Callithrix jacchus: one gene and its partners. The protein of the gene in region 7 interacts with the protein of the main gene of each other region in a pairwise test. Links are inferred from orthologs where the notes say so. Each region holds a gene or a part of one and is shown on either strand. Other genes may lie near its edges. The genes, in order: DTNB, RPP30, BRAP, SCNM1, CCDC136, HPCAL1 and HMG20A.

The links.
Region 1: the proteins of HMG20A (region 7) and DTNB interact in binary tests that used the Homo sapiens proteins (3 or more experiments, as listed by UniProt). The two-hybrid records come from large-scale screens. The link is inferred for Callithrix jacchus from reciprocal best matches to the Homo sapiens genes HMG20A and DTNB.
Region 2: the proteins of HMG20A (region 7) and RPP30 interact in binary tests that used the Homo sapiens proteins (3 or more experiments, as listed by UniProt). The two-hybrid records come from large-scale screens. The link is inferred for Callithrix jacchus from reciprocal best matches to the Homo sapiens genes HMG20A and RPP30.
Region 3: the proteins of HMG20A (region 7) and BRAP interact in a two-hybrid assay, tested with the Homo sapiens proteins (2 studies listed by BioGRID and IntAct). The link is inferred for Callithrix jacchus from reciprocal best matches to the Homo sapiens genes HMG20A and BRAP.
Region 4: the proteins of HMG20A (region 7) and SCNM1 interact in binary tests that used the Homo sapiens proteins (3 or more experiments, as listed by UniProt). The two-hybrid records come from large-scale screens. The link is inferred for Callithrix jacchus from reciprocal best matches to the Homo sapiens genes HMG20A and SCNM1.
Region 5: the proteins of HMG20A (region 7) and CCDC136 interact in binary tests that used the Homo sapiens proteins (3 or more experiments, as listed by UniProt). The two-hybrid records come from large-scale screens. The link is inferred for Callithrix jacchus from reciprocal best matches to the Homo sapiens genes HMG20A and CCDC136.
Region 6: the proteins of HMG20A (region 7) and HPCAL1 interact in binary tests that used the Homo sapiens proteins (3 or more experiments, as listed by UniProt). The two-hybrid records come from large-scale screens. The link is inferred for Callithrix jacchus from reciprocal best matches to the Homo sapiens genes HMG20A and HPCAL1.

What each region holds. Positions count from the first base shown.
Region 1 is NC_133515.1:89,636,289-89,640,389, reverse strand, and holds part of DTNB (dystrobrevin beta), read right to left. Parts: intron 1,456-4,101; coding exon 1,350-1,455; intron 1-1,349.
Region 2 is NC_133513.1:83,643,183-83,647,283, reverse strand, and holds part of RPP30 (ribonuclease P protein subunit p30), read right to left. Parts: intron 2,737-4,101; coding exon 2,681-2,736; intron 2,070-2,680; coding exon 2,013-2,069; intron 1,608-2,012; coding exon 1,533-1,607; intron 1-1,532. UniProt on the Homo sapiens protein: Component of ribonuclease P, a ribonucleoprotein complex that generates mature tRNA molecules by cleaving their 5'-ends. Also a component of the MRP ribonuclease complex, which cleaves pre-rRNA sequences.
Region 3 is NC_133510.1:114,520,970-114,525,070, forward strand, and holds part of BRAP (BRCA1-associated protein), read right to left. Parts: intron 1,806-4,101; coding exon 1,730-1,805; intron 517-1,729; coding exon 378-516; intron 8-377; coding exon 1-7. UniProt on the Homo sapiens protein: Negatively regulates MAP kinase activation by limiting the formation of Raf/MEK complexes probably by inactivation of the KSR1 scaffold protein.
Region 4 is NC_133519.1:11,058,342-11,063,214, reverse strand, and holds the start of SCNM1 (sodium channel modifier 1), read right to left. Parts: upstream 2,973-4,873; 5' UTR 2,911-2,972; coding exon 2,860-2,910; intron 2,594-2,859; coding exon 2,523-2,593; intron 1,668-2,522; coding exon 1,579-1,667; intron 1,479-1,578; coding exon 1,381-1,478; intron 1,276-1,380; coding exon 1,187-1,275; intron 1-1,186. Other genes in the region: LYSMD1 (lysM and putative peptidoglycan-binding domain-containing protein 1), read left to right, coding at 3,785-3,964. UniProt on the Homo sapiens protein: As a component of the minor spliceosome, involved in the splicing of U12-type introns in pre-mRNAs. Plays a role in the regulation of primary cilia length and Hedgehog signaling.
Region 5 is NC_133512.1:118,389,820-118,394,387, forward strand, and holds the start of CCDC136 (coiled-coil domain-containing protein 136), read right to left. Parts: upstream 3,221-4,568; 5' UTR 3,180-3,220; coding exon 3,122-3,179; exon of another isoform or gene 2,979-3,121; coding exon of another isoform or gene 2,893-2,978; exon of another isoform or gene 2,770-2,892; intron 2,322-2,769; coding exon 2,214-2,321; intron 2,108-2,213; exon of another isoform or gene 1,962-2,107; intron 321-1,961; coding exon 72-320; intron 1-71. UniProt on the Homo sapiens protein: May play a role in acrosome formation in spermatogenesis and in fertilization.
Region 6 is NC_133515.1:104,572,386-104,576,486, forward strand, and holds part of HPCAL1 (hippocalcin-like protein 1), read right to left. Parts: intron 2,755-4,101; coding exon 2,649-2,754; intron 1,134-2,648; coding exon 1,041-1,133; intron 1-1,040. UniProt on the Homo sapiens protein: May be involved in the calcium-dependent regulation of rhodopsin phosphorylation.
Region 7 is NC_133509.1:23,525,904-23,530,004, forward strand, and holds part of HMG20A (high mobility group protein 20A), read right to left. Parts: exon of another isoform or gene 3,143-4,101; intron 2,917-3,142; exon of another isoform or gene 2,800-2,916; intron 2,539-2,799; exon of another isoform or gene 2,192-2,538; coding exon 2,044-2,191; exon of another isoform or gene 2,003-2,043; intron 1-2,002. UniProt on the Homo sapiens protein: Plays a role in neuronal differentiation as chromatin-associated protein. Acts as inhibitor of HMG20B. Overcomes the repressive effects of the neuronal silencer REST and induces the activation of neuronal-specific genes.

The DNA of each region.
Region 1 (4,101 bases), on a different chromosome or scaffold from region 7:
ACAGATTCAAGGCAAAAATGGTAAAGGAAAAAAAAAAAAGGAACCTGGATGGGCACAGTGTCTCACATCTGTAATCCCAGCACTTTGGGAGGCCAAAGCAGGTGGATCATCTGAGGTCTGGAGCTAGAGACCAGCCTGGCCAACATGGTGAAACCCATCTCTACTAAAGATACAAAAATTAGCCAGGCATAGTGAGTGGCAGGTGCCTGTAATCTCAGCTACTCGGGAGGCTGAGGCAGGAGAATTGCTGGAACCTGTGAGGCAGAGGTTTGCAGTGAGCTGAGATCACACCACTGCACTCCAGCACAAGTAACAACAGCAAGACTACGTCTCAAAAAAAAAAAAAAAAAAAAAAAGGAAACCCACTGTTAAACTATATCTTTAAATTATTCCAAAATAATTATAGTTTTCACAGTTGATATTGCATACGTACAGTTTTCTAGAACTATGAGTTCGATAAAGATGAAACAGGAAGTCATGGCTAAAAATCAGGTGGGCTCAAACAGAAAACAATCATCTGGAATCTTAGGGAGGAAAAGCATATAGTTGAAACTGTATGACCTGATATGACTACATCTTGGTATCTTTTTTTTTTTTTTGAGACAGAGTTTCGCTCTGTCGCCCAGGCTGGAGTGCACTGGCGCAATCCTGACTCATTGCAGCCTCCACCTCCCAGGTTCAAGTGGCTCTCCTGCCTCAGCCTACCGAGTAGCTGGGATAACAGGTGCCCAAAACCACACCTGGCTAATTTTTGTATTTTTAATAGAGATGGGGTTTTATCATGTTGGCCAGGCTGGTCTAGAACTCCTGACCTCAAGTGATCCACCCACCTCAGCCTCCCAAAGTGCTGGGATTACAGGTGTGAGCCATCAAGCCCAGGCTACTTCTTGGTTTCCTTTCTAAATTAATACACATCTCTTTGAGACCAGCCTGGCCAGCACGGCAAAACCTTGTCTCTACTAAAAAGATAAAAATTACCCAGGCATGGTGGCTGGTGCCTGTAATCCCAGCTACTCCGGAGGCTGAGGCAGGAGAATTGCTTGAACCCGGGAGGTGGAGGTTGCACTGAGCCAGGATTGTGCCACTGCACCCCAGTCTGCGCAACAGAGTGAGACTGTCCCGGACAAAAAAAAAAAAAAAAAAAAAAAAAAAAAAGAAGAAATAGTAAGTGTCCTCCCTTTTTTAAAAGAAATATTCTTCTGAAAGCCAAAACCACAAAATCAAATGACAGAGTGATAACAAATTTCAAGTGTAATTTTCAATGATATTAAATAGCAAAAGACATTGCAAATAATCAGTTCCTATACTTTCTATAGCCTGAAGAATTAAACAATAAAAGTTCTGCTTACCATTCTCAACATGGGCAAGTCTGTGCATGAGAGGTAGCCAGACAAGGCACTGGGGAGGAGGGTCAGCCATCATTGTGTCTAAAAACATATTTAGCATTATCTTTCTCTGTGAAGAGAAGAAAAACAAATATACTTTATTTTATTTATTTATTTTTTGAGACAGTTTTGCCCTTGTTGCCCAGGCTGGAATGCAATGGCATGATCTCAGCTCACCACAACCTCTGCCTCCTGGTTCAAGTGATTCTCCTGACTCAGCCTCCCAAGTAGCTGGGATTAAAGGCATGTGCCACCATGCCCAGCTAATTCTGTATTTTTAGCAGAGATGGGGTTTCTCTATGTTGGTCAGGCTGGTCTCTAACTCCCGAACTCTGGTGACCAGCCCACCTTAACCTCCCAGAGTGCTAGGATTACAGGCATGAGCACCACACCTGGCCATATTTTTTAAGAATCTCTGAACTCCAAGATTAAGTTAATTTAAGATTTTCCCATCCAAGCTTTAGTGAATTACATGCTAAATTTCATAGCAAAATAAAATATTTTACATTACTACAGATACCACTACATGCTGTACTTTATACTACTATTAGTATATTCAAATGTATTCCCGCATATGTTATTTTATTTTAGTCAAATGTATAAGATAACCTAGGTTAGATATTACTATCGTCACTTTACAGATGAGAAAATGAATCATTTAAAGGTTTTTTGGTAGCCTGGCCCAAATCAGACACAAAGCCAAGACTGTCCTTCAAGTTACTATTTCTGCTATCCAGTGGGGAAGAGAAGACACCCCACACCTGAGTATAAAGCAACATCAATAAGAGCAGGGACTGTGGCTGCTTGTCTACCACATTTCCAGGTTTCCTAACAGTGCCTGGCACACAAGGAACACTTGATAAGTAACTATTGAAAAAAAATAAATCGAAGGGCAAACACCTAGACATCATTCAGCAGCTTTCTCACTTATAGAAGAGAAAATAGAAGCTTCAAGTAGTTCAAATAGTTTGACAAAATCACAGAGACAGTTACAATAAGGATGAGATTGAAACCTACATATCCCAATACCCATCACAATGCTCCTGTTATACCAGCTCAATGGCTTGACTGCATTTTTCTGTTCTATCTTTCTCTTTTTAACAAATATATGGTAAGCTTCCACTGTATATGAAATACTGAAATAACATATCTCACATAGACACCAAATTAGAAAACAGTTTAGAAAGGTAACATAGAGTTATATGATACAGAGAAAACAAAAATAATAATTTAAATTAATGAATTCTTTTTATTTTCTCCAGCCCACATGACACCTTTGTTCCAAAGGGAAAGGAAAAAGAAGCTAAAAGGCCAGGGTCACACAACCCAGCAAGAGAGCTCCGTGATTATAACCTGGACACAAAGACCTCACTTCAAAGTGTTCCAAAAGAAGAGCCGAGACAACAGGGCACACACTCAGCAGGTGCATGGCCGTCGCTGCCTCCTCTAAGTCCTGGTCCCACCACTCAGCAGCAGGTTGGTGGCTGGGGCAAAGCCAAAAGCACACCCAGAATTTCACCTTGCTCTCTCCCAAGTAACTGTGTTCCCAGCCCCACCTCTTAATGTGAAGAACAGGATAATAAAAAAATATAAGAATTTCCCCATAAAACGTTTAAATCATTTATTTCAGGGGGGAAAAAGGGTAGAAAAAATTGGTTAGAGCTGATCTAAAGACATTGGCAGCTGATTACAAAATAACTCCAATTTTTACCACTAAAAATATATATTTAACACAAACTGGAAGCGAGGAGTGAAGAAACTGGGGTGCTTGGCCTGAAGGACAGAGGCCCCCAGGGCTGTCATGGGACTCATCACAGGACCCTTCCAATGAGAGCTTCTGTCTCACAAGGCTCGAGACTAGACAGACTTTTTCCTCTGCATCTTTCTAGCAACTAAGAGAATCTTGATTCCAGTATATGTAAATTGGAGGTCATTCTTATTAAGAATAATCTTTAAAATAAGAAACTGGTAAATGGGGAATAGTAAAGGGAGATAGAGTAGAAGGCAGAGCAGGAAAGAAGCTGTGCAATACATATCGGGAAAAGATGAAGAAAGCCAAGGGACAGTCTCATCTCCAGACAGCTTGCAGGCCAGCATGAAGTAGTTAAGTAATTTGACAGTTTCTCAATTTAACTTCTAATATGGAACTTCTGGCTGGGGCAGGAGGAGTTGAGAGCTACGCAAAAGGGCTGACAGAATGATGTGGTATGTAGCTGTCATTCAAAGGGCCTCTATACATCTCACTCAGCACTGATGGTGAAGCATGAGAAGTACCTACTCAAATAGGCTAAAGAAAGGTTATCCTAAGTGTTTTCCATCTCAGAATCTAAGAATACTATTGTTTGAGATCTGGATGGAATCTGGGAAGAATCAGTGAATAACATTAAAAACCATAAAGCCACCTAACATTTGAATGAAGGAACAGATATGGAAAATGCCTCTATGAACATGCAGATAACCAAGAAACCAAAATTAAGTTAAAAGTGTCTATTTAAAATTGTTGAGATTGGTCGGGTGTCACGGCTCACACCTGTAATCCCAATACTTTGGGAGGCTGAGGCAGGTGGATCACCTGAGATCAGGAGTTTGAGACCAGCCTGGGCAACACAGTGAAACTCCATCTCTACTAAAAATACAAAAATTAGCTGGACATGGTGGCAGGTGCCTGTAATCCTAGCTACTTGGGAGGCTGAGACAGGAAAATCTGTTGAACCCA
Region 2 (4,101 bases), on a different chromosome or scaffold from region 7:
CCAATGACTGTCCCATCAATAAATCTGATAGACTTTTTTTTTTTGGCCTTTCTGCTCGACTACACAGGTGTACTAACTCTGCTGACCTTTCATTCCTCCTTTTCTGTTTTCCCTTTACTTGCTGTCCTTCTACTTCTAGGGTAGTCCCTCCTCAGTCTCCAATTCTAGCTCATCCTCTTTCCCACCACTACATAGTTAAGTTTCTTAGCACTCTGTACTAAACCTCTTCTTTCCACAAGGCACTTTGGCCAGGGAGTCTCATCCATTCCCATGATTTCAATTATTCACTGCAGGTGACCACTTCCAAAGAAACATCTTTAATTGGGATCACTCTTCTGAAGGCCACATCTGTTTGTTTGTTTGTTTGAAATGAAGTCTGGCTCTGTTGCCCAGGCTGGAGTGCAGTGGTGTGATCTCACTGCAACCTCTGCCTCTCCAGCTCAAGCGATTCTCCTGCCTCAGACTCCCGAGTTAGCTGAGATTACAGGTGCCCACCACCACCACACCCTGCTAATTTTTGAATTTTTAGTAGAGATGTGGTATTACCACATTCATCAGGCCAGTCTTGAACTCCTAACCTCAAGTGACTACTTGTCTAGGCCTCCCAAAATGTTGGGTTTACGGGCATGAGCCACCATGCGCATCTTTTTTAACGGCCTATTTTGAAACTCTCATGGTAACTCATCATGATTCCCCCAAACCTGCTTGTTTGTATGGCCCATCTCAGGAAATGATACCATTATCTACCTACCTGGCTGCTCAGGCCACCTAAGGAGTAATCATCATCCAATTAACCAACAAATCCCATCAGTTCTCCCTCCTAGAGCCTCCTAAGTCTTCTCCTTAACTCCTTCTAATCCATACTCTGTAATTCACACCTCATAATTTTACTCCCTTTGTTAAAACATTCAGGGGCTTCCAACTGCTATTGGAATCCTCACCCAGGCTTATGTCCCTAACCTCATCCCATTGTAACTGGCTCGCTAAACTTAGCCCTATTGGTTTTGTTTCATTCCCAGAAAATACCTTGGCTTCAATATGCATAATCCATTCTATCTGGCAACACTTGCTCCCTGCTTGTCACCTATATAATATTTACTGATTCTTCCGTCTCCCAGGTTCAGTATCAACTTACTCAGGTTACATACTCCCAGAGCACCATTTGTAATTATTATTTGTTCCGTGCTTATCTTGCCATTTAAACTTTAAGCTTTATAAGTTCAAGGATTGAGCTCATATTATTCACGGCAATAACCCCTAGCACCTACCTTAAGTCTGGGGCATGTGAGCTTAATGAATAACAGTTGCCAAGGGATTCTTTAATTGTGCTATCATTACACATGTGCCATGAGTAAGGCGAATAGACATGTTACACTGTGTGAATTCTGAGGACAAGGAGAGTAGGCAGGTGTCATGCTTTAGGGGGGGTGAGGGAAAATGTAAAAATGGGATAAGAAAAAATGCAACATTGTTCAACATTAATCAGTACAACTTACAAAGCTAAAAGGAGAGAGGAAAAATAATTAACTTACCAAAACATTGCAGTGAGATGGATCCGAGACAATAATTGTTAATCTAGTTAAAATTTTAATTGGTCTTGATTTTCCCTATTTAAAAAAAACATGCTGTCAAAGAAGCACAAAAGATAACTGATTTTCATTTTTACCCATAGAAAGTATTCATTAAAAGGTACTGGCTATAAGGGATAGTGAAGATAAATAAAACCCAGTCCTTGTTCTCTAGAAATTTACAATACAGCCACAGAAAGAGATGTACGTATCTTAAACTACATAATAAGATAATTTAAAAGTCGTAGGACTTCAGGAAAGAAGATCATCAAAGTAGTACTGAGTTAATGGTAAAAGAATGTTTCCTGAAGAGCTGAGCCTTGAGGAAAATGTAAGACTGGTAGGCAGAGTAAGGTACAACTCCAGTTAGAGAATAGCACACATAATTAGGTATCTTTTAACTGAATAATAAATATTATGCTTCTTAAACAGCAAAACACCTACCTGTACAATTGGCAAAGTTGTGAAGAGTTCAGAAACAGCTACTGGTTTTTCAATTTCCTAAAGCAAACAATAAACAGTTGCCACAGATTGTATACATCAATAGCACAGGCATAATGGAAAAATTACAAGGGGAATCTCAGAAAAAAAATGCATTTTTTTAAAAAAGCTAGGTGATTTCTGGTTTTCAAAAAGACTTTTAAAAAATATTTTTAAAGAGAAAGTTAAATAGAGAAGCAACTGCAAACATCAGTGAATAGGAAGAATGAAAACTAATTTTTAGGCTGAAATAATCTATAGGATAGTTGTTGGCCTAAAGAGAAATACATACTTACTAGTAATGTTTAAGAGAAAAACTAGTTAATAAGTCCATGACAATAAAATTAAAAAGACTAAATATCTTTATTACAGTCCAGCCAACAATGCACTTTTTAAACAGTGAAAGTAACTTAATTTCAAATCAACTTTAAGAATCCTGAACACTATTTCATAGTACCTCACAAATATCTTGTTTGTATAAATATGCATCAGCTAATGTTAACATATAAAATAGGAAAGTAATAGTATATTAAGGAGTGCATTTAAGAAATATTCTAATCTGTAGCTCCCAGATTGCCAATATAAACAGATTACAAATATTTATGAACTTAACTTCAGAAATATTATTTTACCTGTTTCTTTTCCTTAAAGTCAACGACATGATTGACAGCAACAACTGAATAGCCAACTGAAAAGAAAAATTGAACACTTTTGTTAAAGATAACAACCTCTCCTTCCTGTAAACACAGGTCCATCCTGACTCCAGATGTCAAGAGCAGGAGGCCATTTGAGCAATGGTTATGCATGTAAACTCTAGCATCAGCCTGCCTGATTTAAAGTCTTGGCAATACCACTTACAAGTTACTTAACATGAAGTTTCAGGTTCTTCAACTGTCAAATGGTAATAATAACAACACTTACTTCCTACACTTGTCATGAGATTTAAATGAAATAATGCACTCAAGGTGTTTGAGAACAGTGTCTGGCACATAGGTCTTTGTTTAACCATTATAAATTATTATTAACATGATATTAAAGACTCTTAACTTTGTGCTTCTTTTCAACTATCATTCTCTTTCATATCCCTGTATTCATTTTCATCGCATCAAGTTCTTACTTTACCACTGTCACTTTTATTCTTGTTCATTTCTTTTGCTTTTTACCCTTCTACTTCTGTGAGACTCCTTTCCTAAGGAGAAATGGAGTGATGACTCCCTCACACCACTGCCCACTTCCCATTTTGAGTGCACACCATCGACAGACTGGGAACTCTTTGAGGTCAAGGCTTGCTTTATTATCCTTGTGGGTAACACTCCCCATGGCACCGAGGAAGGAGAACTGTGCAGACCTCAGGCACAATTAGTGCCTGAAGTATAAGTGCCTCACTGCTTACTATATCTAGCTTACATATATAATCATACTTAGTTCCATATATTCTTTCTATATAATCATATAACAGATGTAGTTGGAGCTGTACTGACACATTTGGTGCTGATTTATATAATCCTTCTATATAACCATAAAGTAGTTTGTAGTAGGAGGAATGCCTAGAGCAGTCACAGAACAGAAGCAGTACATGGGAAAACAGCCAGACCAGGACAAGAAGCAAAGACCCTGCCTGAAAGGGCATACACTGTATGGCAGACTTGGAGCAAGATTCTCTCCTCCTGATAAAGGAGTTGTAGCACCTTACATCCAGTTTCTGTGGAAAGTAGGCCTCAGGCCTGAGATCCCGAAAATAACCGAGGTAGAAGCACCCCTCTGGTGTGACCAGTGACAGCGCCTGTATACCCTGTCATTCTTTTCTCACTTCTGTGCTAGCTTAAACCATCCTCCCATAAATATCTTAAGAGAATAGCACAAGTCTGTCAGCTCCCACTGCATTGGCTCACAGTATCTTTCTATTAGAAACCCTTTGAAGTCTCTAGCCCCCAGGTAAGAAGTGTTGCACAGAACACCTGTTGCACACAGCCCACCTCCTTGCCTCGGTGACCTAATGGGGGTGGACCCCTTTTCTGTACACGACCCTCTACTACTGCACGTGGCATGGCCC
Region 3 (4,101 bases), on a different chromosome or scaffold from region 7:
TAGTTATCTAAAGAAAGAGTCAATGAAAGCGTGTTTCTTTAGAATGAAAAGGGTCTCTCTCTGTACACTTTTAACTCTGATAAAATTTTTGTTTTTTCAGATCTAAATTAAATGCCTTACAACATTTCTTTGAAACTGTCAAATCATTTGAATTTTAGAGTGGAGGGAGAGAGCAAGAGTGGAAGTATTAACTCCCTTTATAATGTGTGATTCAAGCCATTCCTAGGAAAATAGTGCCCTCAGGGAAACTGAGAATTTGGGTTTGCAACAGCTGTCAGCAAGATGACATTTCAAGCTGGGAGGAAAAGTGAAGAGATTTCGAAGGCAAAGTTTCCACGGAGAATGAGTCCAAATTAGAAAATGAGAGTGGTGTTCACCTCCAGCATAGTCCCAGACTCGATGGTTGGTAAGCTGCATGGCATATGTGTGCTGCGTTTCCTCAAAGTGCTTATAAGCATGTCGACTTACATACCGTCCACATCCTATGTGGCCACATATTAAACAAATCCAAAGGTTCTGTCGGAAGAGGTAAGATCTTAATTAGTTAAATAAAAATACATGATCCAGCTCAGAGTGGGAAGGGGCTTAACACAGAAGACAGACTTATCGGTCAGGCACAGTGACTCACACCTATAATCTCAGCATTTTGAAAGGCCAAGGCAGGAGGATCGTCTGAGCCTAGGAGTTTAAGACCAGCTTAGGCAATATAGCAAGACCCTAACTCTACCAAAAACAAACAAACAAACAAACAAACAAAACTAGGGCGTGGTGGCATGCATCTGTGGTCCCAGCTGCTTGGGAGGCAGAGACGGGAGGAAGGCTTGAGCCCCTTTTGAGGTTACAGTGAACTATGACCATGCCACTGCACTTCAGCCTGGGTAACAGAATGACACCCTGTCTCAAAAAAACAAAAACAAAAACAACAACAAAAGCAAAAACCAAACAAAAACAAAACAAAAAAACAGAATTGTTTCTACAGGAGTCTGATTAAATGTATGCTTTGTTTTGAGATGGAGTCTTGCTCTGTTGCCCAGGCTGGAGTGTAGTAGTGTGATCTGCCTCCTGGGTTCAAGCAATTATCCTGACTCAGCCTCCTGAGTAGGAGGGATTACAGGTGCACACCACCATGCCTGACTAATTTTTGTATTTTTTAGTAGAGACGGCATTTCACGATGTTGGCCAGACTGGTAACGAACTCCTGACCTCATCATTTACATGCCTCGGCCTCCCAAAGTGCTGGGATTATAAGAGTGAGCCACCATGCCCAACCTAAATGTATGTTTAAAATCCAACAATCAAGGATTCTTTTATGGGTCATTTTCTTGCTGATTTCTAAAGAGCACTATATGAATAGCAAGAAAAAAATTCAAAAATTTTCAGTAAAAGTCTAAACCTTTCAAAAGTGCAAAGGAAAAAGGAATAAATTAAGCTCAGGAGTAACGTAATTTGTGTATTCATATGGCTTGCCTGACCCTAGACAAAAAGAAAAATCAGTCTCGAAAAGAATTTAGGCTGGGCACAGTGTCTCATACCTGCAATCCCAGCACTGTGGGTGGCTGAGGTGGGAGGACTGCTTAAGGCCAGGAGTTTGGGACCAGCCCGGGCAACAGAGTAAGCCCTGTTTCTTAAACAAACAAAAACTAAAAAGAACTTAAGTCATACCAGGTAGAAGAAAACGCACAACAATTAAAGCTGCATTCTTTGTTCTTTTCCATCACCCATTACTTACTTCCTGAACACCACACTCAAAACACTTATTTTCTTCTACTGGCTCGGGCGTTTGACAGTACCGGCAAACAGGACACCTATCCAGGACACCAAAAGATAATGGTGCAGGTTAAATATAAAAGACAGCTGTTACAGAACCCAAAAGTCAAACACTGGACTTTATATCCTCCTCCTCTTATATGCTATTTTTAAGTTTATTGTAACTAAGGACATCACTTAAATGACTAACATTTTTGTACTATTCTCAAACAAAATAAAAATATTCAAAATCTAGATAAAACAGAGAAGAATGGAGAAATTGGGATCTGCCTCATGTCCTTTTCTGCTTTACTGTCTAAAGCTTGGATGATCAAAGGCTAAGTATTTACAGGTGACTAACAGGACTTCATTTCATGTCTGACCATAATGTCTTTTTTTTCTTTTTTATGAGACAGAGTTTTGCTCTTGTTGCCCAGGTGGTACGATCTCAGCAAACCATGATCTCCACCTCCCAGGTTCAAGTGATTCTCCTGCCTCAGCCTCCAAAGTAGCTGGGATTACAGGCATGCGACACCACGCCTGGTTAATTTTGTAGTTTTAGTAGAGACAGAGTTTCTCCATGTTGGTCAGACTGGTCTCGAATTCCCAACCTCTCAGGTGATCCACCTGCTCAGCCTTCCAAAGTACTGGGATCACAGGCGTAAACCACCACGCCCAACCTATAACCCATTTCTACTCCAAACAATCTACCTTATCCCCATTTCCCAAAGATTTCAATCATACAAAAAGTAACCTGTCTTCTCCAGGTTGCTTCCAAGTGTTGGATTTAAAATCTGTAGGAAATTTTACCAAATTAAAAGCAAAGGGTTTCTTGTTTTTTGAGATAGAGTTTTGCTCTGTTGCTCAGGCTAGAGTGCAGTGCTTACTACAGCCTCTGCCAACCAGGTTCAAACAATTCTCCTGCTCAATCTCCCAAATAGCGGACTAAAGGCATGCACCACAATCCCCACCTAATTTTTGTACTTTTAGTGGGCACAAGGTTTCACCATATTGGTCATGCTGGTCTTGAACTCCTGACTTCAAGTGAACTGTCCGCCTCGGCCTCCCAAAATGCTGGGATTACAGGCATGAGCCACTGTGCCTGGCTAAACGCAAAGGTGTTAATGTCCTTATTGAAATGCACATGACATCTCACTGTACCATGAACATGATGTAGAAGATACCAGTGCTCTATTGAGCATTCATGTCTCAATTTACAAAAAGACAATAAAAACAATGTCAAAAAAGTCCATTACTGCTTTCTGTTATACTCCACACAAAATAATGCTAAATACTAATCATGAGTATTTCTGTTATATGGGCAAGTAGGCAGAAAGGGGGTTATAGCTGAGGCTGACTGAACTGGCACCAGGAAGAAACAATTTTCAAGATATAACTAGTAACAGTTTGTTACCCAACTGAGTAAATAAACCAATAAAAGGGAATAAGCAGGAAGAACACTAAGTGTGTGTCACAGATGACCCAGCTCTATCTGTGTAAGGGAAAGTGAAAGGATCCAGTCTGCTTCTTCCTGTAGCATCAAAAGAGAAGAGAGAAGACAAACTTGAACAAAGAACAGAAATGATAGCCAGAAAGCAGCATGCAGTCTTGCTAGAGGTAGAAATTAGCTTTGTCTCATCCCTTTGGTCTGTGTGGTGGCTGTGAAAGTAGCTGAATAAGAAAATAGGCCAAGCGCAGTGGCTCACATCTGTAATCCCGGCACTTTGGGAGGCCGAGGCGGGAGGACAGCTTGAGGCCAAGTCTACCCTGGCCAATGTAGCAGAAGCCCTTCTCAAAAACAAAACAAAACAAACAACAACAACAATCTCTTTCTGAAATGTAAATCTGATCTTGAGAAGAAAAAAATACTACAAAAATAAACTTATAAAAACAACTAGCAATCTATGATATACCACCTTATCTGTCTACTAAAAAACAACAGTTTGCCGGGCGCGGTGGCTTACGCCTATAATCCCAGCACTTTGGGAGGCCGAGGCGGGTGGATCACGAGGTCAAGAGATCAAGACCATCCTGGTCAACAAGGTGAAACCCCGCCTCTACTAAAAATACAAAAATTAGCTGGGTATGGTGGTGCGCGCCAGTAGTCCCAGCTACTCGGGAAGCTGAGGCAGGAGAATTGCTTGAACCCAGGAGGCGGAGGTTGCAGTGAGCCCAGATCGTGCCATTGCACTCTAGTCTGGGTGACAACAGCGAAACTCCGTCTCAAAAAAAAACCAGTTTATCAGCCAGGCACTGAGGCTGTTGCCTGTAATCCCAGCCCTTCAGGAGGCTGAGATGAGTGGACACCTGAGGTCAGCAGTTTGAGACCAGCCTGGACAACACAGTGAAACCCCA
Region 4 (4,873 bases), on a different chromosome or scaffold from region 7:
CCATCTCAAAAAAAAAAACAAAAACACATCCTCCCTCCCTCTCCCCCTTTCTTTCTTTCTTTCTTTCTTTCTTTCTTTCTTTCTTTCTCTCTTCTCTTCTCCTCTCTCTCTCTCTCTCTCTCTCTTTTTTTTCTTTCGAGTGTTACTCTGTCACGCAGGCTGGAGTGCAGTGGCATGATCTCAGCTCACTGCAACCTCCAACTCCTGGGTTCAAGCAATTCTCCTCTCTCACCCTCCCGACAGGTTCAGGCAATTCTCCTGTCTCACCCTCCTGAGTAGTTGGGACTACAGGTGCCCACCACCATGCCTGGCTAATTTTCTGTATTTTTAGTAGAGACAGGGTTTCATCATGTTAGCCAGGATGGTCTCGATCTCCTGACCTTGTGATCTACCCGCCTCAGCCTCCCAAAGTGCTGGGATTACAGGCAAGAGCCACCACACCCAGCCCCCACCATTTTTTTTTTTAAGACGGAGTCTCACTCTGTCACCCAGGCTGGAGTGAAGTGGCATGATCTCGGCTCACTGCAACCTCTGCCTCCCAGGTTCAAGCGATTCTCCTGTCTCAGCCTCCCGAGTAGCTGGGGATTACAGGCACACGTCACACACCCAGCTAATTTTTTATATTTTTGGTAGAGATGGGGTTTCACCATGTTGGCCAGTCTGGTCTTGAACTCCTGACCTCAAGTGATCCACCTGCCTCGGCCTCCCAAAGTGCTGGGATAACAGGCATGAGCCACTGTGCCTGGCCAAAATTCTCCTTTTCTTGAAACACTAAGTAACATCTCCGGAATACCAGTGTTCCTTAGAATACACATTGGAGAACTTTTTTTTTTGAGACGGAGTTTAGCTCTTGTTACCCAGGCTGGAGTGCAATGGCGCGATCTCGGCTCACCGCAACCTCCGCCTCCTGGGTTCAGGCAATTCTCCTGCCTCAGCCTCCTGAGTAGCTGGGATTACAGGCACACGCCACCATGCCCAGCTAACTTTTTGTATTTTTAGTAGAGACCGGGTTTCACCATGTTGACCATGATGGTCTCGATCTCTTGACCTCATGATCCACCCGCCTCGGCCTCCCAAAGTGCTGGGATTACAGGCTTGAGCCACGCGCCTGGCCTCACATTGGAGAACTTTTAGAGCCATCTTTCTCCTTCTGAGCCTTCCGACCTCTGGCTTTCCCCTCCCATACCTGTACTTCCGGCGGCAGCAACTGTTATAGTCGGGGGCTCTGTGCAGAGCACTCTGGGTGATAAGTCGTGTCTGGGTTAGCAGAGGAGCCTGATAAGGAGATGGGAGACAGAGTCAGAGGCTTCAGCCCTCTTCCCTTCCAGCCTGGTGTGTGCAGCAGGGTCTTGACTAGAATACACTCTCCATTCTGATTACCTCAGCTTTGGTTTCTTCCCTTCTCAATTCATTCTGATGTCTTGGATTCTGCTTCCTCTCCTTTCCTGGCTGCTTCTTGCCATAGAAAAGCTGCAAGCCTGAGGAGAAAGGGAAACAAGACTAAAAGCATAGCACCAAGAGCGGTGTGCAGAAATTTCGAGGGTTTATTCCCCATACCCTGTCTTTCCCCAAACTTACTGGATAGATGTTTCTTGCCTGCTCGGTGGGCAGTCAGCATAGCCAGGGTGTCCAGTACTGGTCGATGGGGGCAGATGGCACAAGCAAAACTGAGCAGGGGGAGAGAAGAGGATAATTGGTCCAGGGGAAGAGGGTGGGGCCAGTCCCTACAGTAAGTCCCACCCTGTCCTAGCAGTCCTTTCCAAAGCCCAACTCCAGGTCATCCAATCCCCACTTCTTCCGATCCTCACTTCCGGCCAAGGAATCCTAGATACTCCTGCTGTCCTGATTAATAACAAAAGTTTGGGGCCGGGCGCCGTGGCTCATGCTTATAATCCCAGCCCTTTGGGAGGCCGAGGCGGGTGGATCACGAGGTCAAGAGTTCGAGACCATCCTGGTCAACATGGTGAAACCCCGTCTCTACTAAAAATACAAAAAAATTAGCTGGGCATGGTGGCACGTGCCTGTAATCCCAGCTACTCAGGAGGCTGAGGCAGGAGAATTGGCTGAACCCAGGAGGCGGAGGTTGCGGTGAGCCGAGATTGCGCCATTGCACTCCAGCCTGGGTAACAAGAGCGAAACTCCGTCTCAAAAGAAAAAAAAAATTAGCTGGGCATGATGGTGCGTGCCTGTAGTCCCAGCTACTCGGGAGGCTGAGGCAGGAGAATTGCTTGAACCCAGAAGGCGGAGGTTGCGGTGAGCCGAGTTCGTGCCATTGCACTCCAGTCTGGGTAACAACAGCGAAACTCCGTCTCAATCAATCAATCAATCAATCAATAAAGTTTGTTGAAGCCGGGCATGGTCGCGCCCGCCTGTAATCCCAGCTACTCGCGACGCTGAGGAAGCAAGATCACTTGAGCCCTAGAGTTTGAGGACAGCCTGGGCAACACAGAGAGACCTCTATCTTTTGTTTGTTGAGCCTCTAACCATAGAACCCTCAGGCTTGGGCCACTCCTCGCTCTTACCGTCCATCCCGAAGCATCAGCGCCTCATCCTCTGGGATGTAACTGGCTAGCAGATCCCCGACTCTTCTTTTCTGCAGGGAGAAGGGGAAAAAATCCGGACGGCATCAGCAGATAGGAGAAACGGATGGAAGTGAAATGAGAGAAATGAGGAGTCAAATGGAATAAGGACCCTGGGGAGAATAGTGATCATAGACCGAAAAAGGTGTCACTACCCAGCTCTAAGTCGCCTCTTTCTCTCCCGCACCCCCGAGCTGTTGCCAGTGCAACAAAACAAAGCTCCTTCCCAACCTTCAGAGAGCGACTGAAGCTGCCCTGGATCCTCTCTGCTCACGCTTACTTTGAGAACATTGAGTTGACTCCAATCGTCTCCTTCCCTCTTGAAAGACATCACGACTGTGAGTCCCAGAAATGATAAATTCTCTTGTTCCGGTTTCTCAACTCCTCCAGGCCACCGTAGCAAGAGTGGGACAACTCTTTCTCTGTTTTCAGTCTCTTCCTGTCGGCCTCCGTACTTCCGGGGATGCGCTTCCACACAGGCTTTGCGCGTCCGGAAATCTACTCGCTGGTGCACGGAGGGAACTGCATTTCCTATGGTGCCCTGCGACACTGCAGACGCCGAGCCTTTTGGGAAATGAAGTCTTTTCTCAAAGAGCTTGCCGCTCTGCTGGATCCAGGCCCTCGCATCCTGGCGGATCTGCGGCATTTGGAGGGACAAGAAGCTAGATGTGGAGCCGAAATGTGAGGGTGTGACCTCTCTGATGAGTGGAAGGTGTACTACAGACTCTCGCAATCTTCGCGCTCTTCATCTGCGGCGACAGTTCACCTGGGGTGGGCTGATTTGTTTCTGACCCTAGCGGACGAACCCCGGGACCGGGCAGACCCGGGATGCGAGAGCCCCCAGAGGCCAGGCTACCGGACTTGGGGGCAAACTGAGGAAAGACTGTTGAGGATTATTTCTAGAGGTCAAAGGTCAGAGGTCAATGTAGCGAGGAGTTGTGGGGGGTTCACAGTCGGTGGGGTGCTTAGGGGAGAGATTCAGGGAGGGACTGAATACTCAAGGGACAGATTTGTGGATAACAAGCTTGGAGAGAGGAGAAACCGGGAGGGGGCAGGTGGCGTAGTGCCGGGGAGGCGGGGACACAGGGGAAGAGAGAAGGGGAAAGGAATCCCTTGAATATCCATTCCCAGACTTAAGGCCTGTCACCCTTAGTCTCGGCCGGGCCTTCCCCAGTTGCAACCCTACCTGTCGTTAGGGTGAAGAGATGGCTTCCCCGTCTAGACAGCCCCCCCCAGGGGGGTCAGGACTTCTTCAAGGGAGCCGGGCTCGTTCATATGGAAGCCTCGTGCAATCGGCCTGCTCCCCAGTGAGGGAGAGACGCCTGGAGCATCACTTGGAGCCTGGAGACACCCTGGCTGGACTAGCACTCAAATATGGGGTGACGGTGAGTTTTCCAGGATTGGGGTGCAGACAACAGTCAGGAGGGATTTAGTCCTGAGAAGAATGTAGTGGCCTTTCTAGGTAAACTCCTCTGAAAAGTTCCTAAAGTGTTACACCTGTTCTGCCTTTATCTTTGTTTTCCCATCACAGTGTTGCACTGCCGGGTTGGGACAAGTCCTGTCCTACTATTCCAATGGAGAGGAACAGCTCCAATTTTACTATGCCAGACACTGTGCTGGGGGCTTCACATACATTAGCTCATGTCACCCTCACACCCTATCAAGTACATTTATTGTTTCCTTTTGGCAGATGAAGAAACTGAGACTTGGATTGGTTAACCAGTTTGACTAAGGTCAAATAATGAGTGTCAGATTTGGGATTCAAACAGGTCTATCTGACGCTATTAACCACACAGAAACATTTTCTTTTCATTTCTTTTTTTTTTTTGAGGCGGAGTTTCGCTCTGTTGTCCAGGCTGGAGTGCAATGGCGGATCTTGGCTCACTGCAATCTCTGCCTCCCAGGTTCAATAATTCTCAGCCTCAGCCTCCCGAGAAGCTGGGATTACATTACAGGTGCCTGCTGCCACACCTGGCTAATTTTTGTATTTTTAGTAGAGTCACGGTTTCACCATGTTGGCCAGGCTGGTCTTGAACTCCTGACTTCATGATCCACCCGCCTCAGCCTCCCAAAGTGCTGGGATTACAGGCCACACAGAAAATTTTACACTGAGAGTGATTAAACATTCATAGCAAATAATGGAGAGCTGATTTTTAGTTCTCAGTTCCTGAAGTGCCTACCTCTCCTTGCTCTTGGTTCCTCCTCTGCCTCCTTTCCAGTAAGGCTGCTTCCTTGGTGCAAAACAGGTACTCTCTACACCAAGTGTATCTGGCATGGGGGAAATTTGATAGATG
Region 5 (4,568 bases), on a different chromosome or scaffold from region 7:
TGTAGAGAGAGGGGCACCAGTGACAGGCTCGGATCCAGGGGAGCATAGAGCCTCTGGGCCTGGGCACTCACCCTGTAGCTCCAGGGAGTCATCCTCATGCTGCCCTGCCAGTTCCCGGGTCTCCTCCAGCTCTGCCACCAGCTGCAGCACCTGAGCCCGCAGCTCCTCCAGCTCTGTCTCTGTGAGGCTCAGGCCCCGGTGCTTGTTGACTGACAGGGAGCCAACACTGCCACCTTTCTGCACTTGTTCTTCTTCTTCTTCCACCTCTTCTTCCTCCTCTTCCTCTTCCTCCTCATAGAGAGCTGGGAGTAACACCTCCCCTAGAAGAAACAACCATCCCAGGAGGGAGTCGGCACCAACTTCCTTTCCACAGTCCCTCCAGAGCCCTCTAACTCACTATTCCAGGGCAGAGATGGTATATGGTGCCACCTTGTGTTCCCCAAGGAGCCCCTAGTCAAGACCTGTATTCAAGATGAGTCATCAGGTGTGAGGGTCAAGTTGAGAGGCAGCCCCTCCACCTCCCAGGCCTTTCCTGGACCAATGTTCACTTGATAGCCTCCTACCACTGCCTGTGGGCAGGCTGGTGCCTGCTCAGCCATGAGACACTTGCACAGGATTATCTGCTTCTAGGCTACCCTCTGAGCAGTGGAACAAGTAATCAAGAAAGGAGACAGTGAGCGGATCTTTAGGTCAAATGAGGTAACAGTTGCAGTTTGGAGATTTCTAGAAAACAAAACAAAACAAAAAAACTGGCTGGGCGCTGTGGCTCATGCCTGTAATCCTAGCACTTTGGGAGGCTGAGGCAGGTGGATCACTTGAGGTCAGAAGTTCCAAACCAGCCTAGCCAACATGGTGAAACGTCTCTACTAAAAAAAATTAGCTGGGCGTGGTGGTGGGTGCCTGTAATGCCAGTTACTTGGGAGGCTGAGGCAGGAGAATTGCTTGAACCTGGAAAGTGGAGGTGGAGGTTGCAGTGAGGCAAGATCAAGCCACTGCACTCCAGCCTGGGCAACAGAGTGAGACTGTGTCTCAAAAAACAAACAAACAAAAAAAACCCAACCAAAAAATATCCAGGTGGCTTGTGAAAAATCAGCCTTTCCATGATAAGAAAGCATTGCCCATCGGCAGGTAGGGAAAGGAAATATCTGATTGTAGAGGTTTCATCGGACAAACTCTGGAGCCCTTTGAAATCATCAAATACCTGTTTCAAATTTTCTAGAAGGTCCACCTCGTTTTTCCCTGTTGGCTGTCACAGGTCTCCTCTCCCCTAGCTGAGGAGGCCCCTCCTGCTCTGCTGACCACAAAGCAGTTTTCAGGGGAAGTCTTAGCCTGTACCTGTGCATAAAAGAAACGCTGCCATTCTAATGCATTAAAGAACTGGGGTTTGGTGCTGGCCCCCAGCCTCTGGTTGCGAGCACCCCCTCCTTTACTGCAATGCAGTTCCTATAAATAGCAAAATGTTGTCTGAATGGTGATTGTTTGCTTTGTTTTAAAATTCTGAATCTCTGGTCTTACTTTCTCTAATATCAGCAGCCTTAGGTTCATGTGGGACCCCTCGTGCCATCTGCCCCCCTTAGGGGGAGCAGGTTTCCCTATACTGAATGTGCAACGTGCCACACTTCACAGGAAGTCCTGGAAAATGGACCAGCGTCCTTCCAGGGGCCTGGTGTTGGCAGCAACTGCCAAGTCACATGGGTGTGGTGGGGACACACGTGTATTGGGAGGATGGCCTCACTCGCCCCCTCCTAGGCTTTCTCTTTCAGGCAGTAAGGTATCCGAGAGAACCAAAGCCACAGGCTTCCATTCGAAGTTAATGGTGGTGGCCCCAGAAAGACAATTCACATGCCCACTTCCTTGCTTTTTGAAAGAAGAGACAGCTTGGGATCTGGGTCGGCAGGCAGTGAGAACAAACCCCCTGCTGAAAAGCTGCTTCAAAGCTCTGTCCAACAAGGCCTCTCTCTGTCTGGCAGCTCCCTCGGGACACACAACCTGGTTAGCTGAGTGATTGGGGTCCCAAAGGGGTGCACTCTGAACTTCTGTCGAAGTCTGAACCCTGGGAAGGGCTGGAGCTCTGAGTTGCAGGAGGAGGGGCTAAGACGAACTGAAGGTAGGGCTGTGTCCTGGCTCAGAGGCCTGAGGGTCAAAGGGAAGAGAGGGAAGGGGATTAACGGAGGAGGGGAAGGGGAAGAAAGAAGCCTTTTGGGAAAACTCACCCTCCATAGCTTGCATCCCCCGTCGTTCCAGGGACCCCCAGCGTTGGCCCTTCTTCCTCTCACAGCCCTCCGAAGCCTCATAGGAGCCTAGAGTGGTCACTGTGGGTCCTGAGAGCAGGGCGAAAGGAGGTGCTGAGGGCTGGGGTGCAGAGGAAAGAGGGAGGCATGGCTTCCAGCCCCTCGGAGCCCTGGGATCTGGAATCCCAGTGGAGGTGCCTGACTCACTCTGCCGGCTCTACGTCTCCCCTCTCTCGGCTACGTCTCACGCTCTGCCTGCGGGGACCCCAGCCCTGCCGCCCAACCGCCTCAGACACTCCTGGTTCCAGGCCCCCCTTGCTTGCACAGACAGAAAGAGGGGGTGTGTGTATTTAGCCCCGGGGGACAGGGAGGAGAGAGGAAAGACTGAAAGAGGGCGGGAGCCAGTGAAAAGAGGCTGAAAGGGTGAGGCGGCCTACAAAGAGAGGGAGAGAGGGAGAGAGGGAGGGAGGGAGGGAGGAGTGGGGGGCGTGCGTGAAGGGATAGGGCTGCGGCCGCTCCCCTCCCCTCCCCTCCCCTCGTATTCTCTTACTGGACCTCGCCCACCCCACCCTCGCCCAGCGCTCTGGAGCCTCCGGGGCTGCAGGGGGTGCGGGGTCTGGAGCCCCGAGTACTGGAAGCACCGTCGGGCTTGAGTGGAGAGATGAGCTGGGGAGGGACCTACAGGCAGGATGCGGCCGGTGCGCAGAAGCCCCAGCCCCAGGCCGGAAAGATGGAGACCGGGCCCAGGTGGAGGCCAGGATGGAGGGAGGAAGGCTTCGGGCGGAGAAGAGGGAGCCGCGGAGTCCGGGAGCACCTGGGGGTCTGGAGGGAGGAGGGATGGAGGAAAGAAAGGAGGGGCGGTGGAGAGGTGAGGGACGGGCGGCTCTGACCTGGGCCCTGGCAGCTCCAGCCCGCGGCTCCCGCGCTGGTTCCGGCGCCCGCCTCCATGACCGCTCCCGCCGCCGCGGCAGCTTCCCAGAGCAGAAGCCGCAGCCGCGAGCCCGGGGACCGGGAGCCGGGTGCGCAGGGAGGAGGGAGGGCGGGCGAGGGGGCGGGGCCTGGCCGGGCCTCCTGACACCGCCCCCCGCTGCCCGCCGCCGCCCGGAAGCCCTCCCAGCACCCAGGAGCTCCGAGTGGGTGCTGGGGCGGCGCGGGAGGGTGAGCGCGACCCCAGATACCTCCCAAGGCTCTCCCCGAGGGAGCGCCGGGGGCCGCCGGGCCGGGACAGCGTCGGGAGCTCTCAGGCTTCAGGCTGTCCCAAGAGGGAGGGGTGAGATCTCCTGGTTCTGGCGGCGGGTCCCGCGGGGTCTGCTGTACGCGGGGACCTTCCGCACCAGGTGTCAGGGCCCGGTCATGCTCAGCAATGGGGACGGCAAAGGGCAAGGTGGGACTGTTTCCTCCAAACGCGCGGACACGTGCGCCCCTTCCTCCCCCACCCGGCCGGCGCCCCCACCTGGCAGCCGGCGCGGACTCCGGCCTCAGGTCCCTCCCAGCCCCGCCCGGGGGCCCCTTGGCAGCTTGGGGGCCGGAGAGATGGGCTAACGCAGGGCCCTGACCTCTCCGCTTTCCGCGCACCCTCCTCCCCCCAGCCAGGGCCAGAGACCCTCTTAGGAGGGGCCCTCCGATGGCCCCACCAAGCCTCAGGGCCCGAAGACCCCCCCCTCCTCCGTTCTGCCTTCCCTTCCGGTCCCACACCTGGTGGGCTGCGAGCCACGCCCCCACTGTCGCCCACTCGAAGTGGGCACGACTGATGGTCATTCTCTGGAAGTGAGATTTGGAAGCCCAGGCGGCTTATTTCGCGTCTTAACCATTGCTTTATTCAAGGAATGCCTGCTGGGTGGGTGCCGGCTCTCTAAGAGGCAGTTCTCACACCCCGGCAGGTCTCAGCAAGGATCAAAGTGGGTACAGTTGGGAACAGGGGCTTCCCAGAACATCCAGGAAACGTCTGGGAGATTCCTAAGCCGGGGACACACGCGGATCCCCTCTCTTGCACATCCATTCCCAGGTCGAGGGCTAGGATTGTCTGCGTTCCCCCAGCTGCCAGAAAGGGGTCCGGATCCCGACAGAGAGAGAGGGTTCCTGGATCTCGAGCAATCGAGAATTCAGGGCGAGTCCATAGAATAAAGTGAAAGCAAGTTTATTAGGAAAGTAAAATAATAAAGAATGGTGGGTTGCCCATTTTTATGGCTATGTCTTGATGATATGCTAAACAAGGAGTGGATTGTCCATGACTCCCCCTTTTAGACAATGTAGGGTAACTTTCTGATGTTGCCATGACATTTGTAAACTGTCGTGGCGCGCGTAGGAGTATGGCAGTGAGGACGACCAGAGGTCACT
Region 6 (4,101 bases), on a different chromosome or scaffold from region 7:
GTGGCCTCTGGAGGCTCATGGTCCAGGGCGGGTCTCTGTAAGGTGACCGGCTGAGCTAGGTGGGGGAAGTTTTCTGACCATCCACTCCCTGTCCCATCATTGCTGTCAATGTGCCCACACTGTGGTCACCATAGCCCTGGCTCTGCTGGTCTACATGCAGGAGACGCCGTAAGGAGTCTGCCCAGGTGGACATGGCCTCGAGGGCAGGAGGGGGCGCCTCTGGCTCCAGCTGGTAGGGAAGCACAAGGTTCGAGGTTGGCTCCGCCCTGGCAGCCTGAGCCCTGGTGCGGCCTCTGTGTCTGTTTGAGGCTCTGTGTCAGCTGGAATCGCTAGAGCACCCTGCAAAATGTCTGTGCAGGCAACACAGGCCTAGCACAGGGGAAGGCGCGCAGTGGGGGCTCTAGGCTCTCGGTTCTGGCACATGGCAAGCCACCAATGATTCCAGGCCTCAGGATCTTCGTCTCGAAGGTGGGATAATGAGAATGCCCATCTCGAAGGCGACTGGGGGGATGCAATTGAGGACTGAGCCCAACACCAGGGCGGAGGATGTCCCTGCCCAGTAGGACCCTGCTGGGAATCCAGCCCCTTTGGCCCATTGGCAGTCAGGTACACATGTCCTTATGGGACTCTGGCCTGGGCTCCAGCAGGCTGGCTTCTTCCAGGGCACAAACTCGATGCCTCTGGGGCCTGGGCAGCCTACTAACCCCAAAGGACCCCACACGATGCCTGGGCCAAGGGATGGGCAGGGAAAGGGAGGGACAGCCAGGTTCCCAGCAAGCAGTCCCAGGACCCTCTGCCAATGGAGGCTGCCGGCCTTAAGGTTGATGAGGACATTTGTGGGCCACTCCCCACCCTCCACCTCCGACCGCACAGGGCAGCCAGCTGTGGGCCTCAGAGTCCACAGCCCCAAAAGCCCTGGGCCAAGCCCCAGCCGCCCCACTTCCTGTCCCTGACCCCAGCCCCCTAGTTCCAGGCTGAGAGAGAGCAGGTCTGCCCAGATGGACCACGGGTCGGGAGAGCCAGAGCTGCCCCAGGCTGACCTGGAGGGCTGCTGAGATGCCAGGGAGCTGCTGAAGATTCCAGGGGCTCCTCCTGACGGAGGGCAGGCAGGCGAGGGGACTGCTCAGCACAGCCTGAGGAGAGGGTGGTGTTAATGATACCTGTGCCCTGGGGAAACCTGTCAGCCCAGCCCAGAGGCCCGGAGCAGCCGTGCACCTGCTGGGGTGGCCAGGGAAGCTGGGGGACCCTCCAGGGCACCGTCACTCCCGAGCAGTCCCTGGAGGAGCCTTGAGGGCTGAGGACCACAACCTGAACTCTGGCCCCTGGCTTCGGCCCACCTTCCTGGTATCACTCTTCCCTCCTTAACCCAAACTCCAAGGACAGACAGGTCCCCTAGGCTCAGAGGAGGAAGTGCTCCATCCCAGCGGGCACATTAGCAACGTCACATGCCATCCCAATTCCCAAACAACTTCGAATATGCCCTCTGAAGAGGTGGGCAGGGCCAAGCTGGGAGGCAGGTTCTGGCAGGACCATGGGTGGCTTCCCCAGGGACGCTGAAGTCAGGAAACACAGCCGCTGTTTGTGGAGCGCAAACCCTGCTGAGAGCTTTATGGCATCGTCTCGCTGAAACCTCACAACCCGGTAGGACTGGATTCGCCCTCCCCACGAGGATCGAACAGCTTCGGGAGAGCAGCAGCAGGTGCCCTGCTAGGCTGGAGGGTGGAAAACACTTCCCATCAGCCCGAAGGCCACGCCAGACAGCAGGCAGGCTTGCTTTCTGCGTGCATGTGTTTTGAACATGGTGACCTGGCTGCCTGGAACGATCTTTGCTGCCTACAGCTCCCCCACAGCCCGTCCCCCGCTGGGGCCGTGCTAACCTCACCGAGGGCTGCACTCCACACTTTCCAGAGCAGCTTCCTGGGCATTAGCTTATCTTAAATTCTCCAGCACAACCCAGGGAGTATTTTCTCTTCTTAAGGTTGCATTTCTTCATTGTTCAAAAGCAAAGCAAGCCTGGTGCTATGGCTGCCCTTGACAAAGCCAGCAAGAAGAGCAGAACTGGAAGCTGCCACAGCCGCCCCAGATCTCACAGCCAGTGCAGAGGAGGGCACTCGAGGCACAGCCTCGTCACCACTGCTGCCACCACCATTGTGAGACTTGCATTTCTGCAGTGGGGCTGAGTCCCCACAGAGCTGCCGTAGGCGGACAAGGTGGCAGTGTACATCCTGACAGTTCCCCTTGGACACTGAGGCCATCTGGGCAGCCTCCTCTCTCAGGATGGCAGCCAGAGAGGCATGGCCAGCACCCCAGGACCCCACCATCTGGGATCCTCTGATCCCAAGCCCTCCAGATTCAGGGCTGCCAGCACGCCTGCCTCCCTGCCCCTAAACATACCCACAGGAATATAGGTATGTCCTGTTCTACGAGTAGGGAGATGGTGGCTCAGAGGGGCCACAACATGCCCAGCATCACAAAGCCGCACAGAGGGGCTGGGGCACAGCATGGGTATCCCCAACTGTATCCCGCCTTTCCCTGGGCATGACAAGCACCAGGCAGGTGGGCCAGGAGACCAAGAAGCTGCAGAGGGGAGGGGGCGACCCAAACATGTTTCTTGGACACACGCAGCCCTGCCCCCACACCAGCCCTACCATCGTTGTTGGTGTCCATCTGCCTGAAGATCTTGTCCGTGCGCTTCTCCGGGGTGGACTCGTCCTCCGGCATCTTCATCACCGAGGACACCATCTTGTAGATGGCCTGCGGACGGGGGCAAGGACAGTGTGCTCAGAGGCCCGGAAGCTCGGGCAGGTGCAGCAAGGGTAGGCTTCTGCCCAGCCCATGACAAGGCTTGGAGAGGTCGTGGGCTCCTGGTGGCCTTCAGGACCCTTCCCCAGTGGGGAGAATGTTCCCCAGTGAACTTCACTGGCGTCTAAGTGAAGTTCAAGAGCAGAGCTGGCAGGATGGCTCTACTGGGAGGTGGTGAGGGTGGTGGTATTTCTGCCTGGGGGGGTAGTGCCAGGAAGGTGCCTGAGTGCCCCTCTTGGGGGCTGGGAATGCTGAGAGAGGGTGGTGGTCACGTGGGCAGAGTTGCGTGAAATTCGACATGCTGCCCGCCATGTGCATTTTACTGTGTGGCTGTTACCCCGCAGTTTAAAAGAGACTGCCCCTGAAACTCACAGGGAGAGCCCCATCACCAGCCCCTGACAGGACCGGAACCCGTGGCCCTGGGTCTCCACACCCTCTTTGGGACACTGTCAGCCGAGGGCTCAGCCTAGCTGCTGGTCTCTCTGTGCATCTCTGCCTGAGTGGCCCAGCCTAGGGCACATGCCCCTGCGCTGCTGGTCAGTGTACAGGGGAGATGGTGATGGGGCTGGTGAGTGGCCGCTGAGCAGTGACATGCATGGGGAGGGGCGGCACTGCTGTGGAATTTTCTGAGCACTCCGTGTAGAAGTGTCATTTCCAAGACAACAGACCATTTTCTCATTTTGAGAAGAGGTAGCACCAAGTGTCCCCTGAGAAACACCAGGCAGCCAGCCAGGGAGCCATCCATGGCACTGGGGGAAGGCTTTCAGGGTTTGAAGACTTGGTTTGGGAGTTGAAAAGCGAGATTCTGTTCAGACAGAAGTGGCTGCTCCTTGCTGCTCCGAACAGTTCTGCCAGAGCCTCCAGGTTCTGGCCACGCCTCTGCTCAGCCAGGGGCAGGCATGCTGATCTCCAGAGGGTGAGGGTTAGCACAGGGCAGGGTGGGCGGTTCCCGGGAAACAGATTTCTTACTTCCGCCACTGTGTGAAGCTAAGAGCCAGAAAGTGGTGACTGAAGCAGAGTTCCCCGAACCCGTGTTAATTTCCTCTTGCAGTGTGAAAACCATCTGTGTGGGAAACGGGCCCCTCGCTCCGAGGCGGGCTGCGGCTGGAGCAGGAGTTCTTGGATCTGATACCCGCTGCTGGAGGCCTACCCCTGAGGTTCCCTACCATGGGACCACTGCTTCTGAAGAGTTCCATTTCTTTCTTGTTTTGTTTTTGGTTATTTTGGAGGCAGGGTCTCACTCTGTCACTCAGGCTGGAGTGTAGCTGTGCAATCCTAGCTCACCCTCAAACTCCTGGG
Region 7 (4,101 bases):
ATCCAAATGAAGACTACTAGTCTTTGGCTTGACAATCTGTTCCTTTAGACGTATATTTTATTTTAATTTTTTTTTGAGATAGAGTTTCACTTGTCACCCAGGCTGGAGTGCAATGGCACAATCACTGCAATCTCTGCCTCCCAGGTTCAAGTGATTCTCCTGCCTCAGTCTTCCAAGTAGCTGGGATTACAGGCATGCACCACCACATTCAGCTAATTTTTGTATTTTTAGTAGACATTGGGTTTTGTCATGTTGGTCAGGTTGGTCTCGAACTCCTAACCTTAGGTGATCCACTTGCCTCAGCCTCCCAAAGTGCTGGGATTATAGGCGTGAGCCACTGCGCCTGGCCTAGATGTACATTTTATAGTTAGAGGTCTTTGTATGTTGAGTTACCAATTAAATCAAAAGACTGAATCATCTCTGAAAAAAAACTAAAGAAACAAAAAGGACTGAAGTACACTGATGTCTCACCACAGCATTTTTTCTTGGGCCCTTTCAATAAGATTTAAGGCACATCATATTTTTACTTTCTAATTTTACAAATACATACAGCCCTATCAGTTAATGTTTTATGGATACAAGAATTCTTATTTTAGACAAGAGAAAGATAAAGAAATAAACAGGAACAAAAACATCTAAATACTAATTGTAGTAATCTACTCTTCCAAATACATATAAAACGTATGATAATTCACCATTGGGCAAATGATGCATTTGGTATTAGTTTAAAAACAAAAAAAACAAAAAAAATCCTAGTTACACTGAAGCTACTGTGGACTGGCCAGGGTGGCTCACACCTGTAATCCCAGCACTTTGGAGGGCCAAGGCAGGTGTATCACTTGAGGTCAGGAGTTTGAGACCAGCCTGGCCAACATGGGGAAACCCCACCCCATTAAAAAATATAAAAATTGCCTGGGCATGATGGCATGCACCTATAATCCCAGCTACTTGGGAAGCTGCGGCAAGAGAAAAGCTTGAAGCAGGGAGGTGGAGGTTGCAAGTGAGCTGAAATCATGCCACTGCACTCTAGCCTGGGCAACAGAGTAAGACTCTACCTCAAAAAAAAAAGTTATTTGGATTTTAAGAGATATAAGAAGCTTTAAGCATTCATTATAATCTTTTAAAATGCCAACAGGATAGATGAAAAAATTAGCTGCTTTTTTTTTTGAGATGAAGTCTTGCTTTGTAGCTAGAGTGTAGTGGTGTGATCTCGGCTCACTGCAACCTCCGCCTCCTAGGTTCAATCGATTCTCCTGCCTCAGCCTCCCAAATAGCTGGAATTACAGGTGTGTGCCACTATACCTGGCTAACTTTTGTATTTTTTAGTAGAGATGGGATTTCACCATGTTGGCCAGGCTTGTCTTGAACTCCTGACCTCTGGTGATCTGCCCGCTTTGGCCTCTTAAAGTGTTAGGATTACAGGCAGAAAGCACGTGCCTAGCCAGCATTTTAAAAATAAGAAACAAGACAAAAATCAATAGTGGTATTCTTTTCGGCTAAAAAAAATAAAAATAAAAGAGTGCTTTAAAACATTGACAATGTAATCAGTTACTTGCAAGAAACACTGAAAGTCCAACCAGGACATGACTGCCCTGGCTCATATACCTTTGTGTGGGGTAGGGAAAGGTACCATGGGAGGGTAAAGGACTTGGTAAGTAGTATGAGGACTTTGGGCACAGAGGACTCCATGCAGCAGGACTTGGTAAGCAGAGTGTGGCCTTAAGCAAGGGCATGTACACTTCTCGTTAATTACTTACTAATGGTTAAATAATTCACTCACTCAACAAGTACTTGTTGATCATCTAATATGAGTTGGTATAAATTTCTTAGGGAACAGGGAAAAAAGAGGCTACCTGTCTGTGTCACTAAAATCGTTAATATTGTTTTGTATAAAACAAGAAATAGAAAACAGAAAATTTTACAGGTTATCAGCTTAAGAATGTAGGAAGGTCAGATGATGAGCACCTTGATCAACATACCTTCCTTGTGACTGTTTCTTCAGGAGTTTCAGAAGGCAGAACAGAAAGAGATACTTCAGCTTACCTCATCTTCATGCCTCTGTTCATTGCCTTCTGCTGCATTTGAAGACTCACTCGGAAGCAACTGACCTTGGGAGAGATCCTCCACAAATTCTGGATTGTTGGTGGATGATGTGGCACCACTACTGTATGGAACATCTGGGTGATTTAACCTGAATAGACGAAAGTATCAACAACACAAAAACTCAACCTATTTACCAAGGTTCTAGACAAATTTCCCTGCCAGCAAAAGAACATGCCAGTCCTTGAGTTAATTCTCCCAATAGTCTGTATAAATGAAAAAAATGTCTTCACAGAAGTTACAGAGTGTTTTAAAAAACTGGTTGCAGTGCTTGATTAAACCAGGTCAGTTCCATGAAGACATCTCCTACCAAAAACAACTACAATCTTTTTCCGAAAAGATGATCTCCCCTCAACAGTGCAGTGGTGTGACTTCATGTTTTACTTCTGAACATGCAATAGAATCTGATTTAAATGCTACCTTTCATGTATCTCCAAGGTAAAGGAAAAACACTATTAACGAAAAAAGTGAATAGGAATGGGGGTTGTAGAGGCAGTTTGCCAACTATCACAAAAGAGTTCTTAAAGGGTGTAAGAAAAATCTCTTAATGGTACATTTCATTGGCTATTTCTTCTTAGATTATAGCATTTACTGACAATCAGGTCATCTAAGAACAATGTTATTAAGTTCAGTAGGTTTAGGTATACATGTTAATAAATCAGAGAGATGTACTGATTTCCTGCTCCCACTACGTTCCAGATGAGTTAGCAAACCAGATCTCACCCTTCTGAAGAGTGAATACAAGAAGGTACAGATGATGGTAGGGTCTTAGATGGACTTACCTTATTACATGTGGACAAAGGAATAGAAGAAAAGGTAACATGTGCTAGTATTATTGTTTTTGTTTTTTGATTGGGGGAGGAGTTGGGAAGGCAAGAGTGGTAAAAAGATGGGTAATAGAGTAATATTTAGTCATTATTCTGAAAGAATGCACAAAAGGGTACAAAGATGGAAATAATGGGCAGTGCTAGATACTCTCTAGAAAGGCAGTGAGAAGAAAGAAAAGTCAGGATAGAACTCGGCTAAAGCTATATCGTTACAGGAGTGAGGTAGAAAAACCAAGAGAAGAGACTGAGAAGACATTAAGAGACCTGGAGAGAAGACTATTGCAGAGGCCAAGGAAGGAAGACTTTTGAGAAGGTAGCTAATCAAGTAAAAAGCTGCAGATGTTAAATAAGATAGGCCAAAAAGTATCTGCTATGAAGGTCACTGGCAATTTTAGGAAGTATAGTTTTAGTGGAATTAGGAAAATAAATACTAGATTACAGTGGACTGAGAAATAAATGAAAACAGGAAGCAGACTGCCCTGGGAATGAAAGAAATTATACTTTTCTGACCCTTTCTAGGAAACATAAATAATTTTAGCATGAGATTCCCACATTTTTGAGGTCCTAAAAAAGAGTATGTAAAAGAAGCTATGAAATCAATGCAGATCATTTTCTCTGAAAAGCGGTACCATCGAGATCCAGTGTGATCTCTGCAGTGCTGTTTTCTAAATATTTCAATCATTTTGGATGTGTTAAGCAACTTGTTCTTTCACTGTCATTCTCATTTCAACTGTGCCATCAGTTTTTAAGTTATTAATTCTTGTACATTCTTATTTAGTAAAATAAGAGAACTAGGTTTGGGAAAGAGTAGCAATCCCATGAATCCCTGACTTAAGTGGGCAGGAATGGTCAAAAGCATCACATGCCTTCTTGATGACATGTTGAAGACTAGGAAAAAAAAGGAGATCTTTTGTTACCATGAATAAACTATCCATGTTCCTAGCTAAAGACAACAACTCTTCTATTTGCACCCTTGATCTCACACCCTCTTGCCTACAAACCAAAGGGCAGATTTTCAGCAATTCTGTCCTTCCTGGCAACACCAATGCTTTTCTCTCCATAGGATCAGCCTAATCAGCATATACGTATATTAATTCTCTTAGCACGAAACTAAATGAAAAGAAAAAAAACTCAATCCAACTTCCAGTTGAGGTCCCAATTTTTCTTCTTTCCT